Arabidopsis thaliana: one gene and its partners. The protein of the gene in region 1 purifies or fractionates together with the protein of each later gene. This does not show direct contact. Each region holds a gene or a part of one and is shown on either strand. Other genes may lie near its edges.

Evidence for each region.
Region 2: the proteins of AT1G09620 (region 1) and AT5G38750 fractionate together in Arabidopsis thaliana (co-fractionation; one large-scale study listed by BioGRID). This does not show direct contact.
Region 3: the proteins of AT1G09620 (region 1) and AT1G18130 fractionate together in Arabidopsis thaliana (co-fractionation; one large-scale study listed by BioGRID). This does not show direct contact.

The regions. Positions count from the first base shown.
Region 1 is NC_003070.9:3,114,543-3,118,304, forward strand, and holds the start of AT1G09620 (ATP binding/leucine-tRNA ligases/aminoacyl-tRNA ligase), read right to left. Parts: upstream 2,158-3,762; 5' UTR 2,026-2,157; intron 1,927-2,025; 5' UTR 1,914-1,926; coding exon 1-1,913. Other genes in the region: AT1G09625 (uncharacterized protein), read right to left, coding at 2,801-3,025. UniProt on the Arabidopsis thaliana protein: Catalyzes the specific attachment of an amino acid to its cognate tRNA in a two step reaction: the amino acid (AA) is first activated by ATP to form AA-AMP and then transferred to the acceptor end of the tRNA.
Region 2 is NC_003076.8:15,520,694-15,523,791, reverse strand, and holds AT5G38750 (asparaginyl-tRNA synthetase family), read right to left. Parts: upstream 1,143-3,098; coding exon 1,045-1,142; intron 1,004-1,044; coding exon 934-1,003; intron 852-933; coding exon 612-851; downstream 1-611.
Region 3 is NC_003070.9:6,233,799-6,237,560, forward strand, and holds the start of AT1G18130 (Class II aaRS and biotin synthetases superfamily protein), read left to right. Parts: upstream 1-2,096; coding exon 2,097-2,144; intron 2,145-3,762.

The DNA of each region.
Region 1 (3,762 bases):
TACTCCCAAACTTCATCATTCATCTGCTGAGGGCGGATCAGAGACTTGCTACCTTTATACATGTCTCCATCGTGAAAGATATGGGCAACTGTGTAATAGGCCATATAAAGAGATGAATCAGATAAGGATTCCACTAGGAACTGTTCATCCCAGGGAATACGAGTTCCTAAACCAAAAGATCGTGAGCAAGCCCACTGATTGAGCCAGCTCAAAGTGTGCTCAAAGCCATGCCTTGTTTCATCAGAGTAGAGATTCATCTTTGATAGGCATTCCTCAGCAATTTTCCGCCATTCTGATTCGCCGTATGTTATGTACCACTGATCTGTAAGAGCCACAACACATTCATCACCCGATCTTGACATCACCGGCTTCTCGGGTTCACTGTATATGATTGCCTCGCCAGTCTCTATGAGCTTTGTCTTGATAATGGGCTTAATTTCTTGAACTTTCCTACCAAAAAACTCTCCAATAAGCATGGTTCCTTCGGTAAATCCTTTCAGGTAAGTCAACCTCTTAGCCTCTGCAAGCTTTTCCTTATCGTTTTGGCTTTTAATTTTCAGATCCAAGCAGACCTTTTCAGCAGCTTTATCCCCAAATTCCGGAATGTTGATGATCGGTATGATTTCAGTGGGCAACCATTCCGTTTTCACACCATACTTATCTTGAAGAGCAGGCTTTTTGATTAAATCTTGTAAAGCCATGTAATCATCAGGAGCATCACTAGGCACACTGGTGACAATGCCAGTACCTTTGTTGGTCAGAATGGTCAACATGGGCAGAGCATAGATGATCTCGTTGACTGACAGAGGAGACCTCAAAGGGAGTCCAATCAGATCATACCCGGTCAACTCAACCAAGCAGGAAGGCTCCTGAGGGTTCTTCGAAAAGTTCTGGTACGCAAGGTTGAGCGCAGCTCTCTCAGTAAGGATGAAGACCTCAGTTTCGCTGATTTCATAAGCTCCATATTTCCCATCAGGTAGTACCCATGCGTTTGTTTGTCCATACATGGTCTCAGGCCTCAAAGTAGCTGCAGCCAAAAACACTCTCTTGCCTTCCAAAGGACCCAGTTTCAGAGGGAATGGCTTGACTACTTCCATCTTTATGAGTGTATACTCTTGAGGCTGAACACCTTCCCCAGTAGCACGGTCGTGATCAGCACAAGGCTGGCCATCTAAAGGTGAGAATATAGTGTACCTGCGGTCTTTAACAATCTTTCCCATAGATTTCAACTTCCTCATCTGCCACCTCACAAAGGCATCGAAAAAGGGATTAACATCAGTGGTCACAAACGAGCGTCTCCAATCACAACCCAATCCATATGCCCTTAGATCTTCAACAGCCAAAGGGGGAAAGTAATACAACCATTCAGAAGGCTCTCGGAAATTTGCAATCTCACTGTCAGTAAGACCAAAACTGCGCATAATCTCCCACTGATAAACCTGTCCACCAGCTTTGGCAGCAACCTTAGACTTCTTTCCCTTGAACTGACCCGGAATCGGTAAAGCTATAGTATCACTGCTCTCCTCCTGAACTTCAGGAACTTTGGTGGTGTCTTCAGCAGTAAACACAGGAGGGTTACCAAACTGTTCAATCTCACGACGAAGCTTATCCGCAGAAGCCTTAATTGGCATACCAGTACAATGGAAACCAAATGGAAGAAGCACATTAGCTCCTCTTAGCCTATGGTAAGCAGAAGCAAAATCAACCTTGGACAATGAAAAGGCATGCCCAATGTGTAGATAACCATTCATATACGGGAAAGGGAAGGTTGAGAAAAACTTTTCTCCTGGTTTTGGAAGATTCTCACAAGATTCGGCTCTGAATACATCCTCGTCTTCCCACCACTTTCGAACAGTGGCCTCAATCTCAAGAAGACGATCTCTCCTAGCGTAGCTTTTCGATTCCGATGCCATTAAGTGACAGTGCCTACCCCAAAAAAACGCAAACCTCTAATTTAGATATCGGCTTCTTAAGTGCAACACAAAAATCGGTAGATTGAGTCTACCAGCTTGGGGAGAGAATTACCTTAGGGATGATGAACTTTGAGGAATCACGAATCGAGCCCACCGCGAAATCGATCCGAGATTTGACAGAGACAGAGCCAGTGGGAGAGATAAGTAATGGTTTCTAGGGTTTTTCTTTAAGACTACCTTCTTCAGTCTTTGGATTCGACGGCTGATTATTAAACTGAACTAGTCTCGCCAAAACCGGATCCAAGTCAAACCCATTTAGAATTTGGGCCACATCCACTAAAAGGCCCAGATATTTGGGGACTTCAAAGTTTTTTTTTTTTTTTTTTTTTTAACTAGTAGACGTTCAATTTCTTTTTCTTTTTTTGTTTTTTTTTTTTTGTTAAATAATATTCATGTTTTCTTTCTCCTCCCCTTTTCAAATGTTACTGGTTTTTTATTGTGCGATGCTTATGTCGTATATTATATATGGTGGATTGTTTAATGGTATAATTTCATTGTATTTGCAGAAATTTAGATTTGCATGAAAAAAAATGTTGAGAAATTTGAGTTACACCTCAAACTTGAAAGATTAGTAATGGAAGCAAATCTAAGAGACTAATAGTTAAAAGAATTCTCGACTTTGGTTCTAGAGAATGTGATTGATTAATCCTTTCAATCTTTCATCAACACCACACAACATGTTTAGTTAGTTATGATAAGATAAAGAAACCATACATAGATAACATCTTTCAAACTCTTTAGATTCTCAAGAGTCTAACCTTTGTTAAAAATAAGAAAACTATATGATAAAAACAAGGGATGCAAAACAAATATATTGAAAATTTTCTTCAAACGAGATTATTATTTGGCTTAGCTTGTGCCTTCTCGTTCGTCTTGCTCTTACCATCTTCTTTCACTGGATCCTTCTTCTCCAAAGTTACAGAAGACGACGCTTTACCATCTTCTTCTATCTCAAGAGGTTTCGAGCACCACCTATCGAGCAAATTGCATAAAACCGTCACCATTATTATTCCTGCGACGATAATACACCATCCCCAGATTGGGATCTCCATCTTTTTTATGTATTTGTTTTCAGTGACAAAGAAACAAAGTAAATTGTTTGTTGATGATTACAAGTTGCTTAAAAGTTGTTGATATTATAGGAGGCGGGAACTACTCGAAAGACTTGGAAATTTACCATTTTGACAAAAAACTTGCTAGAAAATAACTAAAATAAAAGTAAATCATTCTTCTAATTTTTTTCAATTTATCAACTTTAAAAGTATATTTCCTTTTCTTCATAAATCTCATAAACTAGCAAAAAGATAATGTCATAAACTAATACTATAAAATATATATTTTGTTTTTTTTGTTCCGTCAAATATATATTTTTGGTTTTGCCTGTATTCTTGTTGACTTCCGTTTTTTTTTTCCCCCTTTTTTTTAATTAACTTCCTTTCTTTGCTTTTCCATTTCTTCTTGATTGAAAAATGTATATTGTGTGATTTTGTCTACTTTATTTAAATTATCTTTGAAATCGAAGAATTTCTGCTCTATTAAAAATTCAAACTATAGTCTACGTTGGTATTTGTTTATTTCATTTTATACTCTGCTTATTTTTCTGATACTACATTACAACTACCACTCAAAACTACAATTAATTCCCTAAAAATATTTTTCGTTTCCAAAATTTGTTTTGTGTGAACGATTCCGAACTCCACAATTGATATAAAAAATTATCTTTGAGTTATATTATCAACAACAGAAAAAAGAAAGAAAACAAATACAACGCAAGCCTTGAAATAAAGTC
Region 2 (3,098 bases), on another chromosome or scaffold:
TGGTATTTTTTTAACTCTTCCAAAATATCATATAATATAATTATAACAATTGCAAACTATATATTAAAATATTTATATAAAAAAATATTTTATAACATGATGTCATTTGCAATATAATGCATAATCATTTAATTTAAAAATCACTAGTTTTAGAAAATAAATCGTCTCAGGGTGTATCGCGGTTAAAATCTAATTTATCATTATTATTACAAGTGTTGCATCTTTTTGGGATCTTGATGTTTGAATCCAGTTAAAATTAATGGAGCTCTTGGCACTTTCTAGTTAATTCAGGAGATTATTCACAATAGTCCTTTTCCATAGTTGATCGGATTCTAGTCAAAAAAGTTTCTTTTTTTGGGTTCAAAAGGAAAAAGTTATAAGAAATGAGTTTATTAATTGTTTAGAATGAGTGGAAAAAAAAAAGTTTAGAATTAGAAGAAAAGAGAATGAATTACATATCAAGAAGAAGAAAAAAGGAGAGTGGAATTACATTTACATGACATGTTGTCATATTGATCACTGTAATATATCGAACCTTAGGGTTCTAATGCTAACACGTTAAAATAAACAAGACAATAGAGTTAGGCAGTGAATAACTTGAAATAATAGTATTATGCAGTCCGGCCCCTATTCTTCGCCGCAAGACACATCTTATGTCGGATTCTTGTAACTGCTGCAATCATGGAGGTTCTTGCACGAAAATAAGTATGGTCTCTCAAATACTCTAGAGTCAGCTTCGATTTAGGAATTGAGTACGGAGTTTCACTGCGGTGATCCACTGTTCCCACATCAATGAACTTCTCAACGTTAAGCTCGATCATCTCCTTCGTAGCTTTACCTTGCAGAGGAATCTTCAAACAACCATCTATGGACTATGGTAAGACTAGTTCTTGTAGTAACCAACTTGCAGCGATATGACACAGAAGCATCCACCTTGACCTGAAGATTCGCTGCGCAGGATCCATAGTTCACTTCAAGAAAAGTGAAACTTTTTCCTAGCTCCCTTCCCTTTTTTAACCCACCCGCTGGTTTGGAATTTCTCACCGGCTAATCCTGCTGCCGTCCGGTCGACACAAAATCGATCGAATACGGGTCCGACTCAGAGAACAGAGATTCTGCACCGTTGATGACGAGGCACCCATATCTCTCATCAATATTAATATTATTATTTTTTATGTCGATTGTTTTAGTTAATATAAACAATTAAAACAAAAATTTATTTTCATTTCAGAAACTATTGAATATTTTCTATTTTTTACTATCTTTTATTAATACTTTTTAAACATATCAAATTATTTTTTTTTTGTTCAATTGTATTAACTATTGACTAATTAGAGTTATTTTGTAGAAACAAAAATAATTTAATATTTGGTAAGAGTTTTTAAAATTTTCTTTTATTGTATCAACTAAAACAATAATAATTTATTACTTTCAATTCAAATTAATATTAATATATATAATTTAACATGTATAATGTGTCGACTAATATATCTTAAGAGAATGAAGCCACAAAGGTCCACTTATAGATAGATACGATCTTATTCTACCATCCCGAGTGACCTTTTTTGAAATATCTCTAGCTAAAGTGTTATATTCATCTATAATAAATTATTATACAGTTAATGAAAATTTGGAAATGTTATAAAGTTTTATAAGTGGCATATACGTTATTAGGCCTAGGCGTTTGGGTACTAGTTCAGGTTAGATTATGGTTTTAGAGTTTAGGTTTGGAGGCTCCATACATGTATTTTATATATGAGGAATTGGTTAGATTTGAAAAAAAACTTTGTTAATTTTTGGATTTTTCGGTTATTTTAGGTATTTTAGTATTTTTGATTTATTTATTTTGATATTTTTAGATTTATAATAATAACTTTTGAAATAATATTTATATTTCAGTTTCGGTTTGATTATTCGGATATTTATTAGTGTTTCGATTTTTCATATTGTTGTCAAAATTATATGAGTACATTTGTATAAATTCAAAAAATTTATACACAATGAAAGAAGTATATAACTAAATAGAAGCAAATAAATAAATAAACAATGATGTGAGTAAACAAAAAAATGAAAGAAACAATAAAACAAGTAAAGTAAGCATGTAAGAAAACAACTACAGAAGTAAAGATACAAAGAATCAAAGAGGAAACATGTGAAAGAGCTAAGCCATGAATGAATCAGTTGAATAAGCGACTGCCAAATAATCAAAGAAATCAAGAAATTGACGATAAGTAAACAAGTGAATTGCATGTACGGTCTGAGCAAACAATGAAGGGAATAAGAAGGAAGTAAACACACAGATTAAGAAATGAAATGAAGCAATATGGAGTGAGTAACGATCAAATAATCAAAGAAACAAACAAGAAGTAAACAAGTTATAAATGTAAGTAAACAGAGAGAAAAAAAAAACAAGCAAGCTAGTTAAGAAATCAAATAAGTAAATAAGCAATCAATAAATCAAGAAAGCAAATATGCATAGATTCATGCATGAATGTAAGCATGCATGTATATATGAATGTATGCATGTATGGATGTATGAATGTATGAATGTATGCATGTATGAATGTATGCATGCATGTATGGATGTATGAATGTATGAATGTATGAATGTATGAATGTATGCATGAATGTATGGATGTATGAATGTATGCACATATGAATGTATGCATGCACACATGACTATATCACGCTATCAAAGAGGTCGATGTAGATTTTCAGGTTGTTCCTAATGGCAGTTGGACATTGCCGCTAGCCGTTATGCTCCAAGCATGCTTACCTATTCAGCCGCGAGACACTAGTCTTCCCAATCTAATCAATTTCTTTGGAGGAAATCATTTGATGCTCCAACAAGTATGTTCTCTACGTCTCTTACGTGCCAAATCTACAACATGTGGCAAAATAAATTGTCTGTTATAGGACAGTAAGGTTCTCACAAAAACTTCTGAAACATGCTAATCTCTGTTTTAGGACAGTTACCTTCCAGGAGACCATCTTCGTCAATGGGGTTTGGTGGTTCTTACCGCTTGTCTCCTTTGTGACATTGATTTAGAATGCCGAACACACCCATTTTTAAGCTATAAGAGAAAAGTCAAAATATT
Region 3 (3,762 bases), 3.1 Mb from region 1:
GTCTATCCTATTAATGAGCCTATGCGTGAGTATTGGCAACCAATCGGCTCCACCATCACAACTGATGGGTAAAGACGTACGACTATACTAATTATAATGTTTTCTCTTCTTGTTCTCTTGTCTTTTATTTATAAATAACTAGATAAGACCCGCCTAAATAGGCGGGTGTAAGATGTAAATGTAATTTTTATCGATAATATTTAAATTTTGAATAGTAAAATAATAGTCGATACATTGTTCTTATAATTTTGAATAGTAAAATAGTAGTCTTATGCATTTTATTTTGTTATACCCATTCAGTCTTATTGATGATATTTGAAGTCTAAATAGTAACCTACACACTTTTTTATATTATAATTTAGTATTTAGAAGAAAAAATAAATTTTTATCTTATACATTCAATTTTGTAATACAATTTAACTATCTATTTCATAAAAAACTCGATTTTAATTCTACACACTTCATCTTACTTGATAATGATTTCATGTCAAAATAATATATATATATATATATATATGAGATCAAATCTATATCTTAGTTAATATTAAAATTATTAACAATTAACAAAACATAATTCATAATAATAAAACATTTGCTAATACCATATATATTAAAAATTTGACCAATAACATATATAATTTTTTTTTTTTGTTAATTTTCCTTTTGGTTAAGAAAAATAAAATGTAATATTTTTTAGATATAGACATATGAATTAGTATATGTTAATAATGATTTATTTTTTAGTTTTCTATTTCTTTAAGAAGAAAAAAGTTAATTGATTTCTTTTTAAGTATTTCTATTTCTTTAAGAAGAAAAAAGTTAATTATTTTCTTACACATGTCAACATCTGATTGATAGATTTGACACGTGGCAAAATCGTATGAGTTAGTAACTTTGAAAACCATACTTTATATAATAAGATATTAAAAATTATTAACAATTAACAAAACATAATTCATAATAATAAAACATTTGTTAATACCATATATATTAAAAATTTGACCAATAACATATATAATTTTTTTTTTTGTTAATTTTCCTTTTGGTTAAGAAAAATAAAATGTAAGATTTTTTAGATATAGAAATATGAATTAGTATATGTTAATAATGATTTATTTTTTAGTTTTCTATTTCTTTAAGAAGAAAAAAGTTAATTGATTTCTTTTTTAGTATTTCTATTTCTTTAAGAAGAAAAAAGTTAATTATTTTCTTACACATGTCAACATCTGATCGATAGACTTGACATGTGGCATAATCTTATGAGTTAGTAACTTTGAAAACCATACTTCATATAATAAGATTTGTCGTTTACAATAATATAAGATGCATGCTTGTTGACAAAAGAAAGCAAGTTCGAAATATGTTAGAATAGAGCTATTTTAAAGGTTTCTTCTGGATCGTTTGAAATATACAAGATCGTTCGAAGGCACAATGCTCATCTTTTCTGTAGAGATATATCGTTTGCAATATACAAGATTGTTAACCTAATTAAGCTCATATTTGATAAGTTGAAGTGTTCGACAATCTTCTTTATTGTTTCCATTCTTGTCTTTTCTTCCTTTATTTTATTATTATTTTTTCTATAGTGTCTAATCTTTTTTCTTTCTTTACAACAATTCTGTTCCATTTTATTTTAGGGGTTTAATTAGAAAATTTGGTATTTTAATAATTATTTTTTAGTTGAAATATTTTAATAATGAATTAAATGAGTACTATTTTATAAAATGTTGAAAAAATACCTTAGATATATTTCCCAATATGTATAGATATAATTATATCTTTATGTTCTTTTTGGGGCAAAAAATCTACATTTTCTATACTAATCGTTTATTGCTTTAATTATAATAAACTATAAATGGTTGTTATGAAATAGTAATAACTTGTTAGTTTCATAATAATTTAAAGTTAATATATTAAAATATCAAAAATTCCTATTTGTTGGGAAAAAAGACACCCCCATGGCCCATAGTACGCTTCAAAATTAAAAACAAGGTCTCCCTCCCTGAAACTCCAAAGTCCGAAACTAAAACCTATCGACGTCCGTCTCACAACTTTTTACAAATTTCTCATCGTCTTCGTTCTCTGCTGCTCCACCAATGTCGAAGAATCATCCCGATGAGGATGAAACAAACCTATCCTCTGCCGTGAACCTCAATTTATAGGATGTATCTTTGAAAAAACATTCAGAATTTTTTGGGCCCTTTTCAATAGCATTTTTTTTGACAAAGCGCAATGTTAAATACGAGGATTGGGGCTAACCTTCACCAGTTTGACGAGCTTGTGTGGATTACGTAAGCGTACCTCGCGGTTTATGTCGAAGAATAGTTCCTTAGTCACATACATCCCTTATTTGGCGTTTGCGAGTTTCTTGCAATAGTAAATTACCGTCTCAACGGCAGAGCCGGTCTGTCATGCAAAAATGCCTTATGAAAATAAACAAATTGTGTCTTTTATTTGTTTGCATAATCACAAATAATAATAATATATAAAAGTTATACTAAAACTTTATAGAACATTTTTTATAACATTTTATAAGCGTTTTGTAAGTAAAAAAGAGGGAAAAAAACAAAATTATATTTTTAAATATAGCTCTATTTAGATTTTTGCCTACAAAACTATTCATCAAATTCACGTAATCGAGTTTTTCAAACATTGTTGTCTTAATGGATAATAAAGTCAATTCATTTCTTTGATTAATCAAAACAATTTTTTTTGTTATGTAAACAAAGTTCAACCACTTTACATTAGAAAGTTGAAAAATTCTTTCTAATGCCCTTTTCATAATGCCCCTTTTCAACTCTACCCTTTTGTTTTATCCATTTTCATTTATACCCTCTTTAAATTTTTAATGACCATTTTACCCCTATTTAAAAATTATTTTAGGTTAACAAAATAAAATATTAATATTTTTTCGTCTAAAATATTCTAAAATAAATTTCCCGCCAAAATTTTCCCGCAAAACTTTTTCGAAAAAAAAATTCCCGCCAAATTTTTTTTTCAAAAATTTCTTTCCCGCATTTTTTTTTTTGGCGGGAAATAGATTTACAAGGGATTTTAAAAGGGTTTTAAAAGATTTACAAGGGATTTTAAAAGGAGTTTTAAAAGATTTACAAGAGATTTTAAAAGATTTACAAGGGATTTTAAAAGGTTTTTAACAGATTTACAAGGGATTTTAAAAGGTTTTTAACAGATTTACAAGGGATTTTAAAAGGGTTTTAAAATATTTAAAAGGAATTTTAAAGGGCTTTAAAAGATTAACAAAGGTTTTTTTAAAATTTTTAAAGGGTTTAAAGTGTTTTAAAAGATTTATAAGGGATTTTAAAAAATTTACAAAGGTTTTTTAAAGGGTTTAAAAGTGTTTTAAAAGATTTATAAGGAATTTTAAAAGATTTACAAGATATTTTTAAAGGGTTTAAATGAGTTTTAAAAGATGTACAAGGGTTTTTAAAAGATTTTCAAAGAATTTACAAGAAGATCCTTTAAAATCCATTGTAAATCTTTTAAAACCTTTTTTAAATCCCTTGTAAATCTTTTAAAACCCTTTTAAAATATCTTGTAAATCTTTTAAAACCCTTTTAAAATCCCTTGTAAATTTATTTCTAGCCAAAAAAAATTTACAAGGATTTTTAAAAGCATTTTTTCGGCTGAGAAAATATTTGTTACGAAAAAAAATTTGGTGGGAATTTTTTTTTTAGCGGGAAAAAAGTTTGGCGGAAATATTTTTTTGGCGGAAAAAAAAATTTTTGGCGCCAAAAAATCGGC